2 linked regions of the Rattus norvegicus genome follow. The protein of the gene in region 1 purifies or fractionates together with the protein of each later gene. This does not show direct contact. Links are inferred from orthologs where the notes say so. Each region holds a gene or a part of one and is shown on either strand. Other genes may lie near its edges.

Region 1 (4,227 bases):
AGTGAGGGGCTCTGCCCTGCATTCCAAGACTTTTCTTCCTGTTGGGAGCTGTCTTGGGTCCATCCCAATCCTGGGAGAATCCCAGTCCATGGCCCTGGCCCCCACCCCTAGGGACTGAGGGAGCCTGAGCGGGCCTTGTTTACAGCTTCTTCCCTACTCCTGCATCCTGCCAGGCTCCTCTGCCAGCCGTAGGCTTCCTTTCTCCCTGCACTTTTGCCTGCAGATCTCCCCTCCTGCCTCTTGACCCCCCTAGTCCTGCACTCTGAAAACCCCTCTGCACTTCTGGACGCCTCCCTGAACATCTAAATTGTACTCTGCACCTCCGCATCCCTCCCAGCCTCCTTGCACTTCTCCCTGCCCCTGGAATCCTCTGAACCTTAATTAACCCTGACCTCCCAACTTTCATTGTCTTGGTATCTAACCCATCCCTTTCTTCCCTTCCCTAACATTCTTTCCCCTTGCCACATCCCCTGACCCCTTCTCATCTTTCCCTTAGCGTCTTCACCCTCCTGCCAACACTTAGTCTGCAAAACCTGCAGTACTTAGGTCAGGCTGAGGGAAGAAGGATGGTGTGGGGAGAGGTCTGCCTAGCTAGGGGCTCTGACTGTTCTCTACTGGGGACCACCCAGGCCCAGATCATACCCCCACCCTAACCCCTAAGGTGCCTATTGGGTCGCAAAGCTGGCAAGCCAGACCTCACCTGGGGTACTTGCACAAGAGTGGGAGTCCTGGTTCTGAACATTCAGGGGAGGAAGGGGTATAGCTGTGGCTGAAGAGTCAGCCTAAATTGACCTGCCCATTTGGGCTTTTTAACCTCAAGAGTTTCTCGAAGGTCCATTTATGTGCTTTGTAAACAGTAGAATTTTAAAAAAAATTTAAAAAGGACCAAAGTTCTCAACTGCAGGGAGCAAGGGAAGGGCGCGAGCTCTGTAATATTCTCTAAGAGGACGAGGGAGGTTTGTTGCACGCGACAGCCCACTGAGGAGGCAGAGAGCCAGCTGCGATGCATTTCGGAGTTGGTCGGTGTTTTTTTTGTTTGTTTGTTTGTTTTCTTTCTTTAAAAAAAGTTGGGGGGAAAACTAAAATTCCTTTAAAAAAATAAAACTGAGTCTCCCTTTTTGTATGCTGAATGCTGCATGAGTCTTAAACACTAATAAACAGAGAATGCATGAGACTGGCCTCAGTTGGTCCCTGTGTTGGTTTGCAGAGTCAAGGTACTGCTTTCTGGCAGGCCCTAGTGAACGGAATACGCATGCGCTGCCGCAGTGGCCATCTTTAGTATGGGCCGAAGTTAGTGATGCCTGAGGGCCTCATTGCGCATGCGCAAGTGGTCTCTTTTTTTTTTTTTTTTTTTTTTCCCCTTCCAAGTAGTTTTGACTACCACGGAGCCTCCGCGCGCCATTTCTCTGCGCCTGCGTACTGCGATCCTGCGCAGCCAGGGAGGCGGGTTTTAGCTCCAGGTTTGTACCGCTGCTGAGTAGACGCGAACTAGGTTTGCCGGGTTTAAAAAAATGGCTTCCATCCAGGTGATGGAGAAGGCGATGTGAAAGCGAGAAAGCAGGCCCTTCCCTTTCCAGCTCCGAGCGTGTCTCCTGCCGGTCCCTGGGAACGGCAGAATTCTGGATCCGTGGGGTGGGGTCTGTCCTAGCAGGGACCTGAGCGCCCCCTCCTGGGGACCGTGCTCTGGCCGCAGTCAGTTGTTGGACTGCCTCGTTGGTGATTTCTTAGACCCCCACTTGATCTAAAGCCTTTTGGGTGAGGCACCCTGGTTTGGTACTCCAGAGTCTCCTATATTGCTGGGCTCTTCTCTAGTACTCTATGTCCCTTGCCCTGGGCCATGGAACCATTGCAGGCAGCACAGCGGCGCCTCTGTCTGAAGAAGGGGAAGTGACTTCCGGCCTCCAGGCTCTGGCGGTGGAGGACACTGGAGGTCCCTCTGTCTCGGCTAGTAAGGCCGAGGAAGAGGGGAAAGGCAGTCAGGAGGAGGCCGGGCGTGAGGCATCCAGGGCTGAGGAGGCACTAGAAGCTTCCAGCGCTGTGAGCGACGAGCGTGCCGAGGGAGAATCCGAAGACTGGTGCGTGCCCTGCAGCGACGAGGAGGTGGAGCTGCCGGCCAATGGGCAGTCCTGGATGCCCCCACCCTCCGAAATCCAGCGGCTCTATGAACTGCTGGCTACCCAAGGTACTCTGGAGCTTCAAGCGGAGATCCTACCCCGCCGGCCGCCTACTCCTGAGGCCCAGAGTGAAGAGGAGAGATCAGATGAGGAGCCAGAGGCCAAAGAGGAGGAGGAGGAAAAGTGAGGCCATGCTTTACACATTATTCACGGGACTTCTCTCTTGAACACTGAAACTGGAGGGAGGGGAGAGCAGGAAAGGGAGAGGCAGCGGGCTGGGGTATGCCAGCAGGTGTTTGGGAGAGCTTCTCTCACCCTTCGCTTTCTGTCCACCCTGTTTCAGGCCGCACATGCCTACAGAGTTTGACTTTGATGATGAGCCAGTGACACCCAAGGACTCACTGATTGACAGAAGACGTACACCAGGTAGGAATGAGAGGGAAGAATTGAGGGGAAGTAAAGGGCCTCTTTTAGTTACCTCAGAAGAGGGCTGGTCTGAGGCCTTGGCTGATTTCTGCCGTCATGCAAGATGGAGCATTCACACAGTGGCAGCCTATTTCTGACTTAGGTCAATGCTATACTTTTCTGTCAGAGACCCACAAACCTTCCCAAAAGTCCAAGATCTCCTGACATCCCAGCCCGTCGCCTTTCTAGAGTTTACTTTCAGAATCATTCTTGAGCTCTCTCCCAGCTGGTTAAGCCAACAGCAAGTTGCATTAATTAGCTCCACTTCTACAGTTCCACCTTCGATTTCTCTTGTTGACACTTTTCACAGTTCTAACTAGTATCCGCAGTCCTGGTCTTAGCAACCAGAGTAGTCCTTCTAAGTGAAGTCTTGTCTTTTCTCTGCTTGTACTCCTCCAGAGGATTCCATCACAGGGAAGAGCATGTCCAGTGCCTCTGCCCCAGTGCCCTGTACTCAGAATAAATCTGCCTCCTGCCCCAGGACCTTTGCACTTGATGGCTATGTTCCCCAGCCATTGCATTATGGGTATCTTAGCTTAATATCAGCCATCCTGTGTGTGGCCCAAACCTCAACATTTGCTTCTCTGTGCTCCCCAGGCCTAAAAAGTATGTATTTAACAAGATCTCTACGTGTAGGGGCTTGGGGATGCTCACTGGCTTAATGGTGTCACATTTCCTACCTTCTTAGGAAGCTCAGCCCGGAGCCAGAAACGGGAGGCGCGTCTGGATAAAGTCCTCTCAGACATGAAGCGACATAAGAAACTAGAGGAGCAGATCCTTCGGACCGGGAGAGACCTCTTCAGCTTAGACTCAGAAGGCCCCAGCCCTGCCAGCCCTCCACTCCGATCCTCAGGAAATAGTCTCTTTCCCAGGCAGCGAAAGTACTGACTGTTGCTGCTCTGGCCTACAGGTGCAGACTGTTTTGTGCTGAGCATGGCCGGCCTTTCCCATCCCAGGCTCTTGTAACAGAAAAAGCCTCAAGCTCCCAGCGCAGTGCCTTGCAGGAGAGTGTGTGTGTGTGTGTGTGTGTGTGCGTGTGCGTGTGTGTGTGTTGTTGTTGTTGTTGTTGTTGTTTAGTGTCTGTTTACAGTTTTGAGCTGGATATGCTGAATCTAATAAAAGATGCCTGATGATCTTTTCAGAGGAGAGACTGCCGCTCAACCCAAGCACATGTTCTTACTTGGGCAGAGGCAGAACTGTATCCCTCCACAGTGATATACTGAAGCCAGATGAGGCAGAGGTGCAGCCAGCCATCATCTAACACCTCCCCCTTACCCCAACCCCCCTGCCCCCCCCACCAGGTCCTCTGATTTCCTAGACTCATCCAACCCCACCAGTTAGCACTGAAGCAGAAATCGCCAGTCTGGGAGTATGAACCTAGCTGCTGTGTCTTCAGTGCATCCTGAAGGAGGAAAAGATCCAGTTGCAGGGCCCTTTAAATACCCAAGCTCCGCCCCTGCCGGCCCAGCCCTTTAGGGAAGTCCCGCTTGGTGAGGGAAATTCCTGACCTGTGGCTTGCAGCTGCCAGCTACCCTGCTAAATGTGAGTACAGATTGTGACCCTGGCGGGACCCCCCCAGACTCCAACCCAGGGGTCTGTTCCAAAGGCTCTCTCTAGTCTTCCTGCTTTTCAGAAATCTTTCTTGTGA
Region 2 (4,020 bases), on another chromosome or scaffold:
CTGTCCTTAAACTCCCTTTTAGCCAGATATGATCTTGTATTTCTGAGATCCTCCTGCTTCCTTCCATCTTCCGTGTGCTGGAATTACAGGTTTGTATCACTGTGCCTGCTTTATGCAGTGCTGGGGATCAACTCCGGGCTCTGTGCATGTTAGGCAAGCTCTATATCAACTGAGCTGTACCTTTAGCCACCTAATTTTCTTAATTTGTGTCTATTTATTTTGGTTAATTTGGTTATCAAAGGACTCTTCGTTTCATTAATCTTTTATATTTTTGTTTTAATCTATTTTATTAACACCTAACATTTATTTTGTCTTTCCTTTTTTTAAAAAAAATGTCTAAACATGTATTTACTTATTGTTTGTGTGAATGGGCTTAGTGTGTGTTTTAAGTTAGACAACAACTTGCAGTTTAATTCTCTCCTTCCACAATATGGATCTCAGAGAGCAAACTTAGCATCAAGCTTGGTAGCAGTCGCAGTTGCCTGCTAAGCCATCTCACCAGTCCTCCTATGTTTTTTGAGACAGTCTCAGGTGCCCAGGCTTAGAAATTGCATTCACTGCTTAACCATCTCATCAGTCTGTTATGGCTTTCCAGCTACTGAGTTTGGTTTGGCTTATTCTTGTTTTACCAAGACCCTGGCATATATCATTAGGTTATTTTTCTTTCTGTTCCTACTTTGAATTGGTTGCTAAATACCCACAGTTTGTAGGCCTTCTCAAGACTTGGTCTTTCTCCCGCTAAGCAGCAGCTTTTTTAGCCTTAAAAAAATCTTTATATTATTTGTTTACTTTTAATGTTATTAGAATTTTTAAAATGCAGCTGGAGAGGAAGTATAATTATTTTATAAAGGATTTTCTGGGTGCTGTTGTTTGAGACCAGAACTGAACTCTGCAGCCCAGGTGTGCTCAACTTGTGATGTCCCTGCTGAGACTTTAGGTGTGTGCTGCGAACACTCAGGTCCGTTCATTCTCCTGTGACACTTTGTATATTCCTCCCAATATTCTAGTCTTACCAAAAATGTAGCAAATGGCATTACGAAAGAAAATTTTATTTAGTAAATAAATTGCATCTTTTGTAGAAGTATAGATGTTTAGATATTTACTAAAATGATATGTTGAATATGTAATGATGTTATAATACTCTGCATCCTCTCCTCTTTTTTTTTTTTTTGAAGGTTTTCTTACTGTTCACTTTGCATATACTTCTGGACTAATACACCATGGTTTTGGATGACCTTCCAAACTTTGAAGACATCTATACTTCCTTGTGTTCATCAACAATGGGAGACTCAGAGGTGGAGTTTGACTCTGGACTAGAAGATGATGACACAAAAAGTGATAGTATTTTGGAGGATTCTACAATTTTTGTAGCCTTCAAAGGAAATATAGATGATAAAGACTTCAAATGGAAACTGGATACAATCTTACAGAGTGTGCCCGGCTTGTTACACATGGGTAATTGCGTTAGCTTTTGCCTCCTTCTTGTTGCTGTGTGCTTTGACAGTTTCCTGCCTACAGCCATGATGCTGGGATTACAGGGTTAGGCCACCATGCCTGGTTTGAAAAGTTTCTAGTAAAGTGTAACTGTATTGTAATTAAACAGTTTTTAACTATATTAACATTTAAACTAGTATGAAGACACCTGATGTGTGCAGAGCACAGATAGCTTTCAGTAATGATCAGATTGGAAGAAACTTTGGTGTCTCTGCCCTGTGGAACCAAGAGCCAAAGTTTTTCGGCGTGTCCAAATGTCATGGAACAGCAGTAGGCCTAACTCTTGGAGCTTGTTTTTACCTTCTCTGATTTCGCTAGGTACCTATAGCTTCCCACACAGCTCATTTAGCCTTTCTCTGGGCCACAGTTTCCTTCTTTAAGAGCACTTTAACTAAACATAGCCTAAGCACTTTTAGAGTTTGTGAGTATATTAATCCCACTGCCTTAGCAAGTGCTCTGTTTTGTTGTTTTACATTAGAACAAGTAAATTCTTTGTTCATATTTAGTATCTAATCGTGTAAGAGCTGGAATGGGCTTAAGTGGCATATAGAAACACTGTCTATAGATAACTGGATTTTGAGAAAGCATTTTCCATAAAGCCAATTTATTAATATTGAAAGATGTAATTTGAGCAGTGGCATGCGCCTTTAATCCCAGTATTTGGGAAACACAGGCCAGCCTTTGTCTGGAGTTGCCGGATATCTTTTATTTCCTTTCTTGTCTGTAAAATGTATTTATAAACAGTACTACCTCAGTTTACTTTGTAAATCTTTAATTGTAAAATACATATAATAGTTTGCCATATTCACAATTTTTATATATGGCTCAATGACACTGAAATACAATTAAAATATGCAACAATTACTAGTAGCATTTTTATAACTCTTATAAACTTCCCATTCCCTACCTACTCAAGCCCTTAATAAGCACCATTGTACTTTTTATGATTGTTTTTTAATTTAAAGTATTAGATTTATTTATGTATATGGTATTTTGCCTACATGCATGTAAATGCACTACATGCATGCAGTGCCCATAGAGGCCAGAAGAGGGCATCGTATCTGCTGGAACTAGAGCTACAGCCATTTGTGAATTGCCATGTGTATGCTTAGAATTGAACCTCAGACCTCTGGAAGAGCAGCCATTTCTCTAACTCTCCAGCCCCCTTTCTTTATTTTGAGTACTATTATTTACCTCATATAAGCAGAATTGTGTATCTTTATGACTGCTTTATTTCATTTAACATAATGTTCTCAGTGTTTGCCCATGCTGTAGCACATGATAGGGTTTCCTTCCTGTTTCAGGCCAAATATCCCACAGAATGTATGTATGTATATTCTGCATTTCACTTACTGTTATCTGTTGCTGGGCAGTTGGATTACGTCTGTGCTTTAGCTACTATGACTAATGCTACTGTAAATGTGGATATACTCTTCCAGATCCTGCTTTCAATTCTTTGGTCTGTATACTTAGAAATAAAAGTGCTATACTATATTGCTGGGGCCAGCCCTGACATTCAGGTTCTGAACAGCATCGGCCAAAAGCCAAAGGCTGATGACCTCTGGCCTTCTAACTCTCTCTTACTGTTTTGGGAGCCAAAAGCTGATTACTTTGGGCAATTTCATAGGGAAGGAAGAAGAAAGAAAGAAAGTCAGGCATGCACACGTATACACGCACACAGTTTGGCTGGGCCTAAACATCTGTCTCATCAATTTCACAAGTGCACGTGCATACTTACATGCATACACATATACTACATACGTATGTACAAGTATACATACATATATACATGTATATACATTTGGTGAATGGGGCAAAACCGCAAAAAGCCATACTTTATTTTTTCTTTCCACCTTTTTATGCCTTCTTAGACGAAAGTTCTTTATAAAATTACCTCACAGAAAAAATGTTACACAAAAGGGAGTTACAGAAGGATGTCTATAGTAAGTTCAGAGCAGTGTTTCATTCTGTAAGCTCATTATAAGTTCAAAGCAACAGTTTCCCATGGCCTCGCTTTACCATAGAGCACACTGTCTTCATCCTTGGACCTGACCTACAATGAATGGTTTTCCTTGATCACAAATCTGTCCTAAGCCGATTTCTCTTCTCAGTGTAATTTATGAAAGCTTATGGTATTCCTTATTCTGCAGCCTTTACTTACAATTCTATGAAGGGGGGCACATTCTATTTTTGATTCTAACACTAAAACTATCTCCTTAAACATTCTTTCTAAAACTATTTGAATTTTATAAAGTCATTAATTCATAAAAGTTCCATCTTCATGTTGATCTGCAGGAAATTTGCCCAATAGGGTGGGCTGATGCCCAAGAGTCATTAGCTATGTAATAATGGCAGGAAAGGCACATCAGCAGTGAGAACCAAGCCTGGGACAAAGTCTCTGGGGCTGTGCCTCCTAGAGTAACCCATCACAGCCATGCAAAATGGTGGCCATCTCCAGGAAGCTCACTTGATTGCCATAGACTTTCCTAGATGGCTTCTGTCATTGTATAACTCTTTTTTTTTAAA

The links. Proteins that work in one complex are often made in the same cells at the same time.
Region 2: the proteins of Pagr1 (region 1) and Ncoa6 purify together in Homo sapiens (affinity purification with mass spectrometry; 3 studies listed by BioGRID and IntAct, with this or other methods). This does not show direct contact. The link is inferred for Rattus norvegicus from reciprocal best matches to the Homo sapiens genes PAGR1 and NCOA6.

Annotation. Positions count from the first base shown.
Region 1 is NC_086019.1:191,052,728-191,056,954, reverse strand, and holds Pagr1 (PAXIP1-associated glutamate-rich protein 1), read left to right. Parts: upstream 1-1,454; 5' UTR 1,455-1,818; coding exon 1,819-2,297; intron 2,298-2,457; coding exon 2,458-2,540; intron 2,541-3,267; coding exon 3,268-3,467; 3' UTR 3,468-3,727; downstream 3,728-4,227. Other genes in the region: Prrt2 (proline-rich transmembrane protein 2), read left to right, coding at 1-5. UniProt on the Homo sapiens protein: Its association with the histone methyltransferase MLL2/MLL3 complex is suggesting a role in epigenetic transcriptional activation. However, in association with PAXIP1/PTIP is proposed to function at least in part independently of the MLL2/MLL3 complex.
Region 2 is NC_086021.1:164,388,976-164,392,995, reverse strand, and holds the start of Ncoa6 (nuclear receptor coactivator 6), read left to right. Parts: upstream 1-1,220; coding exon 1,221-1,455; intron 1,456-4,020. UniProt on the Homo sapiens protein: Nuclear receptor coactivator that directly binds nuclear receptors and stimulates the transcriptional activities in a hormone-dependent fashion. Coactivates expression in an agonist- and AF2-dependent manner.